Linked DNA regions of Drosophila melanogaster. The protein of the gene in region 2 purifies or fractionates together with the protein of the main gene of each other region. This does not show direct contact. Each region holds a gene or a part of one and is shown on either strand. Other genes may lie near its edges.

The links. Proteins that work in one complex are often made in the same cells at the same time.
Region 1: the proteins of Mms19 (region 2) and Xpd purify together in Drosophila melanogaster (affinity purification with western blotting, with the first as the bait; one study listed by BioGRID). This does not show direct contact.

What each region holds. Positions count from the first base shown.
Region 1 is NT_033778.4:21,169,428-21,173,181, forward strand, and holds the start of Xpd (xeroderma pigmentosum D), read left to right. Parts: upstream 1-1,573; 5' UTR 1,574-1,634; coding exon 1,635-1,639; intron 1,640-1,693; coding exon 1,694-2,151; intron 2,152-2,203; coding exon 2,204-2,334; intron 2,335-2,396; coding exon 2,397-2,617; intron 2,618-2,676; coding exon 2,677-3,058; intron 3,059-3,116; coding exon 3,117-3,398; intron 3,399-3,461; coding exon 3,462-3,740; intron 3,741-3,754. Other genes in the region: hng1 (hinge1), read left to right, coding at 1-517; LSm1 (uncharacterized protein), read right to left, coding at 638-811, 874-1,058, 1,113-1,167.
Region 2 is NT_033777.3:5,230,463-5,234,216, reverse strand, and holds the start of Mms19 (Mms19), read right to left. Parts: upstream 1,675-3,754; 5' UTR 1,576-1,674; coding exon 1,491-1,575; intron 1,427-1,490; coding exon 1,043-1,426; intron 833-1,042; coding exon 483-832; intron 425-482; coding exon 1-424. Other genes in the region: Kat60 (katanin 60), read left to right, coding at 2,149-2,160, 2,904-3,224, 3,592-3,754. UniProt on the Drosophila melanogaster protein: Key component of the cytosolic iron-sulfur protein assembly (CIA) complex, a multiprotein complex that mediates the incorporation of iron-sulfur cluster into apoproteins specifically involved in DNA metabolism and genomic integrity.

The DNA.
Region 1 (3,754 bases), on a different chromosome or scaffold from region 2:
TTCGCACGCCTACGATGAGGGCGAGGAGCAACACGACTACGACGCTAAGCTGGAGTCTCATACCACACAATCGGAGACGTATTCGGTGGTCGTGGAGGCGGACGATGGGCAGGAGCCCGAACAGGAGAGCTTCGATGAGTTCCTGGGGGATGCGGAGTGCGAGCAAAAGGTCAAGGTGGTCACAATTCATCCGGAAATCGCTGCTCCGAATGCGACGTCCGCACCTGAGCCTATTGAGTCTAACCACGCGGATCTGAACTACTTGGTCTGTATGCCGCCCAATGCGAATCAGGAGCGAGAGCATTCCGCCCCAGAATTACCCAATCCCACGGCCGTCATCACCCAAAAGACTTGCGAAACAGAGGACGACTTCTTTTGCAAGTCGATTGCCGCGTATTTGCGCCAACTGTCGCGCGTGCACAAGATCAAGGCCAAGGTGGAGATGTACCAGATTCTAGAGAAGTACATACTGCTCGAGGAGTGCGGAAAGGGGTCGGGTGCGGGCGGATCAGGCTAAGCAGGTTGCATGCAATATGTACATAGGTTTTAACATAGTTTTTTAATGCAGTACAAATATACAAAGAGACGAAAATCTTTTGAGCTTAATCTAACTTTGTGCTTAGGAAAAAATGGAGTCTTAGCAGAAGTCCTCGTTGATTATGTTGGCATCTACGGCCAGGCCTCGTTCCTTTAGTGCCTTGGATACTAGGCGGTGTTTCTCCTGCCGCTGCTCCTGTTCCCTACGCTGGGCGTCCAGGATTTCATCGACGGATATCTCTTTGAGTGGCAGTTTCTGCTCCTTTTCACGGTCCTTTTACGCATATTTAAAGGGTGTTAATCAGTCATATTGAAAAAGTATCGAGTAAAGCTTACTATTTCGCCCAGTAGCACCACATTCTCCCCGCGAATGATGAAGACTCCGCGAGGAATGTCGCCGTATTCGTTGCCCACATGTATCCGCTCGATGGTGCGTTGCAGCACCAGGTTGGCGAACTGGTCCACGGACCGCAGGTATCCAATCAGAGTCCGTCCGTCTCTCAAAAGTACCATCAGTTTCTCTGCAATGCGCCGGTTTTCAACGACTGGCCTTCCTTTCATTCGGATTTACTCACTGTCAACCTCTTCCAGGAGGTGAGCCGTGCCCGCCAGCGGATTTAAGTCGTCCATGCTATGAAAATATGTGGGATTTAGATAAATAAATAAACTGAAGCAACTAAACTTTGGTCTAAATTTTAGTATTTAATATTAATGTAACCCTCGCTGAAGGGTTTAAAAAACCACAATGCTCTAGAAAAAAATACTAAAAATATTACTACACTGTTCAACGAAACTTATAAGATATTGCTTACTGAAATTGATGTTTTTAGTTTTAAAATGCATAGATATTAAATAGTTATTATTAATTTTCAAACAGTTAAAAATAAGATTTCTGCTCTAACATCAAATATTTTTACGCTGTTCACAGAGTTACAAAATAAAAAGAAGTTGACCAAAAAAATATCAAAACTTGTACTCAATCCATGCAAATTTTTCACAGCCCCATCGATAACGATGGTACAAATTCTATACCTCGATAGTACCATCGATAGTTTGCCGGCACAGGGAATTGTGAATTATCCCGGAATAGGCGAATAATGAAGTAAGTGGCAGAACGGGATAAATGAAAGTACTCCTTTAACAACCCAGTCCACAGGCTCAGCGTGGACGGCCTGTTGGTGTACTTTCCGTACGAGTACATCTACCCGGAACAATATGCCTACATGCTGGAACTTAAGCGTAGCCTGGACGCCAAGGGCCACTGCCTGTTGGAGATGCCCTCGGGAACGGGCAAGACGGCCACGCTGCTCTCCCTGATCGTTGCCTACATGGTGGAGCATCCGGAAACGGTGCGCAAGCTCATCTACTGCTCGCGTACTGTTCCGGAGATCGAGAAAGTGATCGCCGAGCTGCAGAACCTGATGGTTTACTACGAGCGCCACTGCCCCAATCCACCACCCTTCACCGGTCTGGTGCTCAGCTCTAGGAAGAACATGTGCATCCATCCGGAGGTCAGTAAGGAGCGCGAGGGCAAGGCCGTGGACGGTAAATGTTACGGACTCACTGCCAGCTACATTCGCGAACGGCACGAGATGGACACCGAGACGCCCATTTGTAAGACTATTGTTATCCATATGTAACCATTATTTCAACTGCGAACTTGTAGGCCAGTACTTTGAGGGATTTAGCCTGGAAGGCAAGGAGTCCACATTGCCGGTCGGCGTCTACAGCATCGATGATCTTAAGGAATACGGTCGGTCGCGCAACTGGTGTCCCTACTTTTTGGCTCGCTATGCTGTGAGTTTTTTCGTTTGAAAATTTCAAGACTAGATTTGACTATATCTTGCATTCTTTACCAGATTGCCCATGCTCACATTGTGGTATACAGTTACCACTATCTATTAGATCCGAAAATTGCCCAGGTGGTATCTAAGGAAATGAGCCGCGAGTCCTGTGTGGTCTTTGATGAGGCGCACAACATCGACAACGTTTGCATCGATTCGATGAGTGTGAAGATCAACAGACGCACCGTGGAGCGAAGCACGAATGCTTTGAACCATCTAACTAAACTGGTTCAGGAGTAAGTTGTTCAGGATATGCGACTGGTTTATGGCCAAAAAAAACATTCTTAATCTACAGCATTCGCGAAGAGGACACAAATCGTCTGAACGAGGAGTATCAGCGCATGGTGCAGGGTCTGAAGGATGCCAGTGTGCAGCGCGACACGGACATGATCCTGGCCAATCCGGTCCTGCCAAACGATGTCCTAACCGAGGTGGTGCCCGGAAATATTAGGAACGCCGATCATTTCCTTAGCTTTCTGCGTCGATTCATCGAGTATATAAAGACAAGACTGCGCGTTCATCATGTCGTTCAGGAGTCACCTGCGGGCTTCCTTAAGGATATTTCCTCCAAGATTTGTATAGAGAGAAAGCCTCTGCGTTTTTGTGCTGAGCGCCTGTCCAGTCTGCTGCGCACGCTTGAGATCAGTGATTTGACGGAGTATGGAGCCCTTACACTGGTGAGCTTTCAAATTCCATACAAGGTAAAAGCGATATTAATGCTCTTTCTATTTTCAGATTACACACTTTGCCACCCTGGTGTCCACCTACACAAAGGGCTTCACAATCATTATAGAACCCTTCGACGATAAAACGCCGACTGTTTCGAATCCCATTTTGCACTTTAGTTGCCTAGACTCTTCCATTGCCATGGCTCCGGTATTTTCGAGATTTCAAACCGTGGTCATCACTTCTGGCACATTGTCACCCATGGACATGTACCCGAAGATACTCGATTTCGATCCAGTGGTGATGAGCAGCTTTACCATGACACTAGCCCGTCCGTGTCTTCTTCCTATGGTAGTTAATCTATATAATCCAACAATCAGTCATCACAATTATCTGAATGTTTATTCCAAACAGATTGTATCGAAGGGCAACGACCAGGTGACCATTTCGTCCAAGTTCGAGACGCGAGAAGACACCGCCGTCATTCGAAACTATGGCCAGCTTTTGGTGGAGGTGGCAAAGACAGTGCCCGACGGTATTGTATGCTTCTTCACCTCCTATTTGTACTTGGAGTCTGTGGTGGCCTCTTGGTATGATCAGGGAATCGTCGATACCCTGCTTCGCTACAAGCTTCTATTCATTGAGACTCAGGACAATGCCGAGACCAGCTACGCCCTGATGAACTATGTTAAGGTAATATACATATA
Region 2 (3,754 bases):
GGAGAGAGCCACGCAACGCAGATAGCTTATAGACTTGGCTAACTATGTAATAGATCTTGATCCGCTGCTCAGAACTAGCATCTGCGGCCTGCAGCTTGAGCAAAAAGCTGTTGAGGATTTTGTCCGCTGCATAGGGCGCATCTCCCGATACACAAACTAAGGCGATCCCGGTGGCAGGATGGAAGAGCCGCTGATTGACATCGCTGAGATGCGGTAGAATTACGCCCAGAATAGAGCTCTGGTAGCTGTGGCTTATATCCGGTATGTGAGCAGCTCTCTCCAGGAGCGCAGACAACGCCTTAAGGGAAGCTTTCAGTATCTCCTCATTGTCATTTCCTGGAAAAGTCTCTGTTTTCAGAGCCTGCCATATCTGATCGAAGTGCGGCTCCAGAACGGAAGGCGGGAACTTCACGGCAGCTTGGTGCTGTAACAATAAATAGCATGTATAAAAAGAGGCATTTCAAAATGTTACGTTTTCTTGCCAGCAGTTCTATGGAGTCCAGTTTGGCAACCAGCAACTCACTCTCCAGCTTTTCTATGGCCAGTACCACTGTGCCCTCAGCGAATTCGTTGTTGGCTACCAGGCAGTTAGTCAACTTCTTGGACAATTCATCACGGGTTATGGCCGCTGGATCCTGCTTGCTGGGATTAAAGTCGATTGGAAAGTAACACGCAAAGATCTCAAACATCTCTTCGGCCAAATGCAGCAGCGGATACGTTGACAAGAACTCGGGCATGAAGCTGAAAATGATGTCAAGGTTGCGGGGGTCACGCTCGCCGTCAATGGAATTGATCAGGCCGTAGACGAAGTCACCGGCCATCGCTTGCAGCTCTGTATCGGGAAGAAAATTGATTTGTTTGAGTTGTAATATTGTGTAATATTTTCTAAAAATAACGGAAATAAAAGGTACTAAGATTGTCGCAAATATCTGTTCGACTAGTTAAAATCATCTAATTATAACTTTTTTGCACACTGACTTGTTTAAATCGGATTAAAGCAATGTCAATGTATCTTTCATGCTAAAATGAAATCAGGGCTCACCGTCCTGGAAGTTTTCCGTCAAGTACTGGAAAATGTGGAACAGCTTGGTGCGGTCGCTCCGCGTCTGCGACTGGCAGGTGGTGTGCTCGAAGAATGACTGCAGAATCTGGGGAATCTGGGCGCGCGGTAGAGCTTTCATGTGAACCAGGGCGTCGATTCCATCGATAATGGCTGGCATTACGTTGTGATGGTCGCGCAGGCGGTCCATGTAAAAGGTGCTGAGGAACTCCAGCTGCCGCTCTTGCAGCAGATCCTGGGGCAGTGCTATCAACACGGCGGAGAGCAAGTTGGTTCCGGCCACACGCTCCTCCATGTCCGGAGAGGACAGGGCGAAGCCCAGTGCCTCGGCCAGAGCAGATATGTCATATGCCTTGGCGGTCAGATCTGGAGGAAACAAAGAATCTCTATGAGAAGGGCACATTCGACACGGATGCGGGTGTAAACCTGCCCTTGGCTATCTGTGTGGCGGAATTCACAAGCTTCTGGTCGCTTTTCAGAGCCTTTTCCAGGGTGGCGCGCGTGGGCGTTGTCATTGCGGCACCGTCGCTTGAGTGGTGTCTAAATTTAAATGAGTTTAAGCACGTTAAGCCGAAATGTTAAGAACCGATAACCGATGACTTGTCGTACTGGCCTTATCTATATCACAGCGATGCCAGACTGGTGTTACAGTAGTGCAAATGTTTTAGCGATTAATATAGCTTTTATTGCAGTGGCGCTCAGGGATGGTAATGTGTGGCTCGGAGACAAATTCTAGAACTGGAAAATATACTTACATATTGTATATTGATTTATAATCGATAGACACGATACGGAGATTTTCTTTTTATTTTCTTGTAATTCGTTGTAAATTTAGAAATATATTTTTAGCAGCTCTGGAAACAATCGATAGTCGCCGACTGTTGCACACAGGGAACGCAACAGGGTGGTCAAGTGTCCGCGCCGATGTATCGATAAGCCCCGCATCACCAGAGCACGCACATCACTAGTATTACAAACACAGGCAGGCAGCAGTTTATTTTAGCTACCGCAGCACCTTAAACTCTGAATTAAATAGTTTACGCATTCATTTTGCGCTCGGAACGCCGCGTAACAAAGCTAGTACACTAATGTCCATAACCGTAAGTCGCCCGCGAACTGCTCAGCTGCAATTGTAGGTGTGCGGCGGCGAGACGTCAGCGCTGCTGTTGTTGTTGCTCTTGTGGTTGCTGCAGCTGCAGACGCCCCCACATAGCTGGAAATAAAATAAGAAGCATAAGAATAAGAAATACGGTGAAGTGTCGAATGCAAAGTGCAGTTTGCTGTGTCCAGAGGCTTGCAATTAACTCAAATTCTATTTAGATCGCATTAATTCGACCCATTGTGCGCCCGTGTGCGTGTGTGCGAAAGTGTGTGTTGTGTGCCGCTGAAACCTGAGCTGAGTGTGCGTGTGTGTGTGCGAGCGTTAATTTTGTTGTTTTTACTATTGTGTTTTTTGTTTTTTTTTTTTTTTTTGCATACGACGATTTGAGTCGAGTTGAAAGAATCATTCAAAGCCAACAAGGTCGAACGCCTTATTCGGCTCATAACTACCTAATACATTTTCCAATCGGCATTTGGCCCACGTCCCGCCTTGGAGGCGGAATTGAAAATCGGAGCGCGTTGCGTTTAAATTTGGTGACAAGTCGGCGGCTGTGCGCCTGATAATTTATAATTAGCAGCTCACTTGGGTCGTTGCCACTGGCATCTTCTATTATTCGCAATTGTCGCCGGGTTTTCCACTTTATTCGCTTCTGGCTGGGAGGCGCACTTTCCATTTTTACCTGCAAGGCGAGCCAGCGAATGACGAAGTCGCTTCCGTTCTATTGTTCCCCTTCCCACCCAGCAACACTTGGAGAAACTCACGCACTCGAGCGCTTTAATTGGAACTAATCTCTGTCTCTCGTTTTTGGCTACAATGACGACAACCTGTTCCGATCGCCAGTTACTGCGAGGTGGCAAGCAAAAGACAACCACTTGCGTAGGAATGACCGTAATGGCCAAGACTACGTTTGAAGAAATATGCGAGAATGCCAAATTAGCACGGGACATGGCTCTGACGGGCAACTACGACTCAGCCTGCATCTACTATGAGGGCCTCCAGGGGCTGCTCGCCCGCCAGCTGAAGGCCACCGCGGATCCGCTACGCAAGGGCAAGTGGAGCATGGTAAGACATTCCTATCACCACCTCCAGATACTGTCAACTACCATGCCAATGAATGCGAATGGTGACGGTTATGACAAACAAAGGACTTAGTCATAACATCTTGTCAACGCCATTCAAAATTGCCCAAGAGGTTTTGTGTAAACGAGTTATCTAGATCGTTAACGTGCATATAAAGATTTAATTTAATCAGAACACTACCGAATGACTAAAATTTGAATTACAAAGTAATTTCTAGCACTACTGGCACAAAGTAACTGGCTAAAACTCCAATAGATCATAATAAACCAAGTATTTTCAAAAAGTTTAATATTTACCATACCGGACGATTTCATTGACATCATTTAACTAACTGATCTTCGATTTGCAGATCAACCAGCAGATTAGCCAGGAGCACGCCAAAATCAAGGCCATTCAGAGAACCCTACAAGACATCTCGCTGGACCTACAGTCAACCAAATTTGCACACAAGCTGCGACACCAGCTCAGCGAAGAAAGCACCACCAGTAAAGATCCATCTGCCTGGTTCAAGC